Saccharomyces cerevisiae S288C: one gene and its partner. The gene in region 2 interacts genetically with the main gene of each other region. Each region holds a gene or a part of one and is shown on either strand. Other genes may lie near its edges.

Evidence for each region.
Region 1: mutations in DFP3 (region 2) and ERG10 together harm fitness more than expected from each alone (negative genetic interaction), as found in Saccharomyces cerevisiae (one large-scale study listed by BioGRID).

The regions. Positions count from the first base shown.
Region 1 is NC_001148.4:496,431-500,062, reverse strand, and holds ERG10 (acetyl-CoA C-acetyltransferase), read right to left. Parts: upstream 1,968-3,632; coding exon 771-1,967; downstream 1-770. Other genes in the region: SMA1 (Sma1p), read right to left, coding at 1-398; ATP-dependent RNA helicase SUV3, read right to left, coding at 2,344-3,632. UniProt on the Saccharomyces cerevisiae protein: Acetyl-CoA acetyltransferase; part of the first module of ergosterol biosynthesis pathway that includes the early steps of the pathway, conserved across all eukaryotes, and which results in the formation of mevalonate from acetyl-coenzyme A (acetyl-CoA).
Region 2 is NC_001135.5:125,300-128,590, forward strand, and holds DFP3 (DUP240 family protein), read right to left. Parts: upstream 1,432-3,291; coding exon 712-1,431; downstream 1-711. Other genes in the region: serine/threonine protein kinase SAT4, read left to right, coding at 3,171-3,291.

The DNA of each region.
Region 1 (3,632 bases), on a different chromosome or scaffold from region 2:
TCGGGCAAGTAACAAAATACAGCACTTCCTCCATTCTTATCAGGGTAGTAAGAGACTGAATCCCGAATCTCTTTTTCATTAATAACAATTTTGTTTTCTTCGATTTTCATGTTCTTGGTGGAAGAAAAAGTTTCCAACCAAGAATTGAGTTTATGTAATAATGATTCTGGGACAGGTGGCAATAAGGTAACACCCTCTCTTTTTTTCAATTCCATTTTATGATTTGCCGTTTCAGTTCTAGAAGTTTTCAAAGCAGAGTTTCGTTTGAATATTTTACCAATGGATTTTGAAAATCGTTTACCAGCACTAAATTCATGCTTGGATCCCGAATGTTGGAACAGGTGCTTAACACTCACAATTTCGGGATATTTATTAGGACCATCATTAGTACATGCCATTTCCTCTTTCCTCGCCACCAGATTTTAAGGCAGTTGATGTTTGCTTCCAAGGGAGAAAAGGAACTTATAACGGTTAAAATTAATAGAGCCTGAAGAGAATGAAGGCAGCCAAGACATTGATTAACATCCTACAATTGTAGAGCAGTCAAACGAGTTAATACCACAAATGTCAGTAATTAGTGGAACTTGTGCAAGTATCACCCGGCCAGCTTGCCAAGGCGGAAAAGTAAGTCAAAAGGCACACCTCAGCGTTTGAGTACCTGAAAAACGATGAATCGCAAATAAAACTTTAAATTATGCCTGTTATACATAAAGCCATTTATATATTTATGTATTTTATGAAAAAGATCATGAGAAAATCGCAGAACGTAATCATATCTTTTCAATGACAATAGAGGAAGCACCACCACCACCATTACAAATGGCGGCAACACCGATCTTACCTCCTTCTTGCTGTAAGATGGATAGCAGTGTAACAACCACTCTAGCACCAGAACAACCCAATGGGTGACCTAGAGCAACAGCACCACCATATACATTAACCTTAGATGGGTCTAGCTTCAAAATCTTAGTGTTCACCAAACCGACAACCGAAAAGGCTTCATTGAATTCAAAGTAATCAACAGAATTGATGTCTTCGATGCCAGCATGTTTCAAAGCCTTTGGAACTGCAAGAGATGGAGCCCATGTAAAATCAGCTGGTTGATGAGCGGCCTCACCCCAACCTTTGATAATAGCCAAAGGCTTCAAATTCTTTTCCTTCAAAACTTTTTCGGAAACCAAGATGACGGCTGCAGCACCATCGTTGATTGGAGAAGCGTTAGCGGCAGTAACAGTACCGTTTTCTTTTTGGAAAACAGTCCTTGCAGATCTCAATTTTTCAACGTGTAATCTAGCAGGTTCCTCGTCCTTCGTGACTTGAGTATCAGGCTTACCTCTAAATCCCTTAATGGTAACAGGTACAATTTCATTGTCGAATTTACCTTCCTTTTGAGATTTTTGAGATTTTTGGTAGGATTCGATGGCAAAATTGTCTTGTTGTTCTCTAGTAATATCCCAATCACGGGCACACTTTTCTGCGTGTACACCCATGGCTAGACCATCGTACGCATCGTTCAACCCATCTCTTTCGACACCATCAACAAGAACAGTTTGGCCAAATTTGGCACCCGCACGGGCTGCTGGCATGTAGTATGGTGCGTTAGTCATAGATTCACAACCACCAGCTACGACAACATCAGCATTACCACATTTGATGGATTGAGCACCCAAAATGATTGCCTTCATAGCGGATGCACAGACCTTGTTAACTGTGCTTGCAACGATATGATTACTCAAACCGGCAGCCAAAGCAACTTGTCTGGCCGGAGCTTGGCCCAAATTGGCAGAAAGAACGTTACCAAAAATAATTTCGTCAAAATCCTTGGATGCATCCAATTCTGGAACCTTAGCCAAGGCGCCTTTTAAAGCAACAGCACCCAATTCCACTGCTGTCTTGGAGGATAGAGAACCCTGGAATGAACCAATTGGGGTTCTGGCAGTCGATACAATGTAAACGTTCTGAGACATTTTGAGTACGTCTAATCTGTATAAATATATATGATATGGCGCTTGTTTTAGGCTACCTTTTTTCAGAGAACTAGAAAACGAGTAGGCTTAGCAGTGCTCTTAATGGAAGCGCTTGTTCCTCTTTTATATATTTTACTGCCCTTTGCTCAACGGTGGCCTATCAACCTGGCCACGAACGTGTGGTGGGCTAGTAGTACCGTACTCTCCAGCGAAAAAACCGGCTTGGGCGGTAAACGACAGGCACCTCGTTATAAGTGACGTGCCTGTTAGGAAACGATAAACCCGGCAGGGCACAACAATGGCATCATACCAGAAATGTATCATGTTAAGGCTTTCAAGCAGTGTAGCTGTTTCTATTTACAGGATATATCGTAGATTATGTACGCAATCTTCTTCTCGAAGATGAGAGGTGACCTCTTGTAGAACCAAAGGGCTTATGTGCGTAAGGATTCTTCTTTAATCGATCAAGTTTCTCGAAAATAATCATCTCACAGAAATACTTCAAATCTTTAGCAGATTCCATGTCAATGAAGTAGTTTGGGTACCTGTTGCTGAGCCAGAAGTATAGAGTAATGATGTTGTACAATGACTCATAAACCTCTAATGAATAACTCTCATTCGGTATGCAATTGTAGTCCAGTAGGTTAAAAGGTAATCGGTATGACAGTAGGCCTCTTGTATGCCTTTTTGCTATTGTTTCGCAAAATTTGGTGAACGCCTTTGTGACCATAGGCATGTCCTTCACGGGCGCATTGCTTAGTTTCAGCTTGTCGAAAAATGGGATATCTTCCATGTGCTCGAATAAGCCAATAACTTTCAGTTTGCTCTTTAAATCAGATAACGTGAACAGGTTGTCAGAACTTTTCTCTAGCTCATCTGAAATAGTCTGCAGCAGGACACTGGTCGGCGTTCCTGGTGGGAATTGTGTCATTAGTTGAGCACATATTTCATCTGTAGGCCATGTAACCGCAGTTTTTAAATACTCCACAGGTGCTTCAATAGCTTTTCTTACACTTTTCAAAACTTTTGATTCGAAACTGGTGATAAAACCCTGAGGAACACCCCCGGAGGCAGATCTAGATTTGAACCTTCCCGCACGACCACCTATTTGTTTGATTTGAGAAGAAGTCATTTCCATTAGTTCTTCACCATTATATTTCATATTTGTCGTGAATACAACTCTGTCAATAGACAGGTTTAAACCCATACCAATAGCGTCTGATGCTACCATTATGTCATACTCTCCATTGTTGAATAGGGCGGCTTGTTGAACACGTGTTTCAGGCGGCAAAGAGCCATAAATTACAGCAACTTTCAAATTGGTGTCTTTCTCTATCTTTAGCTTGAGATCCAATATTTTCTTCTTTGAAAACGCAACGACGCAATCTCCTTTGCGCAAACCTTTGATGCCATCTTTGATAGGTTTTTCTTCAACACTTAACTTTCCTAACCTCTCATATTCATTAATCGTTAATTTATCGCCAGTCATTTTAACAATGCTCTTAACCAAAGGTAGAACACTCTTTTCACCACAAAGATGGACCTCCTTGGAAACGACACCTAAAAGCGCGTTCGTCCAAGCCCAGCCACGATCCCCATCAGACATCATTTGAATTTCATCAAGAACAACAACGTCAAATTTTTGATTTATTGGCACCATTTCTA
Region 2 (3,291 bases):
CATGAATATTGAATAGTAACAAGAACAAAGCGTGAAAATGTTGAATATAATGAAAGCTGAAGACATCAAATCATGTTCTCCAAATCTTTCTGTCTCGTATATTTTCTTTGATATTTGTTTTATGCGGAAATTGCAGTGGAAACAATCGCGAAACATTCGAGAAAGAAACTAGGTAGCTACAAAAGTATGGAAAAAAGGGTAATAAGCATTCCTTTTTTTTTAGCCGCAAAGCCTGCTTAACCATACATGAAGCACTTTAACATATAGATGCTGCTCTTCACTGTTACATTATATACAGAAAAAAGTGCTCGCAATAAGAAACAAACCTTCAGAAAAAGAAGCTTATCTTGAGCACAAGTCATTCACAGCAAAATTTCTTTTTTCAGTTGCTACATGTTAATTATGGAGTCCTGAGAGTAAGTAACTAGCCATTAGAATTAATTTCCTTCCCTTAAAAATGATAGGGAATGCACGACAATACGTTAATGTGCACCCAACTTGCACCACAGCATATTCTATCCTTTAGTTTGTACAATATTATTAGCTGTGAGAAAGCCCCTTCGTGTGGCACAAATTTATTAATCTCTGTCAAAATACTTCTACTTGTTTATACTGTATAAACGATTAAGTTCCATTATGAATTGTGAATTTAGAATCGGTTTGGTACATCGCTCAGTATAAGTGCTAAATAAAATTATCAAGATTTATATTTCATGGTATATCGGCGTCAGGATATTGCTTTCTCCAATATTCCTGTTGTGCTTGTTTCTCAACTTCTACTGCTTTAACAAAGTATGCTTCGAATATTGGGTCAGAACTGAAACTAAAGCATTTTATTACCTCATTTGAAGCCTCATTTGCTGGTGCATCTATCTGCGTACTTGTGGCGTCCTTTACCGATGAATTTACATTCACACCTGGGGGTTTTTCTTTCACAAGAAATCTGAAGAATTTGTAGCATCTTTCACTACTATAAAAGTAATAGCGAGTACTCCATAAACCATTATCAAGTAAATATTGATTCATATTGTCTGTGATTGCTCTCCATTCTTTTCCCTTTACCGCTGGCCTGTGGGTGATAACTTCCAGCAAAAGCTTAATTCTGAAACCCTCATCCGAGATATACACATTAAACGGAATCAACGTAGACAAAAACAAAATAGAAGTGACGAAAATTGAAAAACCAAAAACGACATCACAAGCTTTAACATTATGAAAGATCACAACTATTAAAATTGAAACTGAAAGTGCCAAGAAGGAAAATATCATCGGTTTGTAATGAGCCATCTCGTACAGCAAGTAGGTCATATATGATTTAAAGGTGTCTTCAGGTAAAGTGATATTTTCTGCGGATGATAACACATTTTGTTCCCCTAATGTATCCAATTTGACATCGTCATTATTACTGTTGTTGTCTAAATGAGGCTGCATGCAGATACGGAGTTTTGTTTCTTGTCTTGATATGGTATAGACAACCGACTGGTGTATATAAACAGAACACAGACTTACATTTTCAGGTTCGAAGTTTTATTGAAGTTCATAAACTCTTTTTAAATTATTTTGTAAACTTGAGCTATTCAAGCAGTATTCTTATTTAACCTAAGCATAGCCCCGGATACAAGGCGTATAATACCCAACTAACTTAAAATGAGAGCCACTTACTGAACACCTTGGAAGGTCATTGTTTGGTTGAAAGGAATATTATTAACTAAGCCTTAGAACAAGGCGTCACCTAAATGATAATGGCTTTTCTTCTGGGCGCGGTCGGGGCTTCGACTCATTTGATACTAGGTTAATTACCCTTTTACGCATACCTAAATATTTGTAACTTTAGATCTGTCCACTAAAAGCGTTTCGATGACTTAGTTGTGCTACTAATAGTAAACTCTTTGTGCAGGCAAATTATATCATCGCTGGCTAGACTTTTTGTCAAAAGTTCTGTTTATACAGTGGGCAGCTAGAGTGCTTAATAACAAAGATATTGTCCTTTAGACTTACACAAGAGCAGAAGCAAAGATAAGCACTGTTTGTTCTGCTTCCATCGTTTTTGCTGAAAATTTTGCATGCATATCCAACCAATATTTAACACCTGGATTATCTCGGTTCAAAGACTACAATAAACGCCCCAATAATTGTGATGCTTTTTTCAATCCAGCCCGCACAAATGAATACCGCTGCTATTGGATGCCATCTTCAGATGTACGTCCAAACTGTGGTTGGTATAGTTTTTAGAACCTCGTGGTGAGGAGTGTTCCATTCTTTCAAAGGCAATGAGAAAAAAAAACAGTTGCGATATTAGTCAACTGTTTTGCATGGTTTCTTTGACGCAGTTGTAAAATCATACTCGAAGGGTAGTTGGAAAATTTTCAACATATATTAGTAATACTTTTTCTGTAAAAGTGACACAAGATAAAATGACTCCATGGCCAAGTTGGTTAAGGCGTGCGACTGTTAATCGCAAGATCGTGAGTTCAACCCTCACTGGGGTCGTTAATTTTTCTTTTCTTTTTTTTTTTTTATCTCCGACGGAGAAAAAATTTTTTCTCAACCCCCGGCATGGCGAATGGAAAAATCACCTGGCACGTCATTTCATCAAATCAACATCGGCCTCCCCGTGCTAATATGTTAACAGGCCGAGCTCTTGCCATCTCACGCATTTTCCGCTATACAAATAGTATATATAATATTACAGCTTTTAAAGAGGGAAGAGGAAACGGAGAAGAAAATATACTACTTTATAGAGATATTCGGCAATTTTTTTTAGCAAAAGTTTATTAAACCCTAATATAGACCTTTACTTGGAGTTTCGATTTTAAGAATTTTTTATCATTTTTTTTTTTTGACGATTTCCTGTCGGTTTCGTTATAACCTGTTGTGTTGTTGTTGTTGTTGTTATTGCTGGGTTGTTGTTATTCACTTTAACATTATCGAATAAAATTTGGACTTTCAAAGTCCTGTTCAATAAGTTGTACTAAGCCTTTAAGCGTTTTTAAGTTACAAATAAAAACTGGAAAGCTTAAGGTAGCTTTCTAATATTAGGCTCTCAACCTTTTTTTACTCTCCATTTACCGCTAGATATTAACTAGTAGTAAGTATTGTGACTACTATTCCCTGTAATCAAAAAAAAAGTAATCAGATTTTATTTTATTTCGACATTACCCCTCAAATATATGACTGGTATGAATGATAATAATGCCGCTATTCCTCAGCAAACTCCAAGGAAACATGCGCTATCTTCTAAAGTTATGCAACTTTTTAGAAGCGGTTCAAGATCATCTAGGCAGGGAAAGG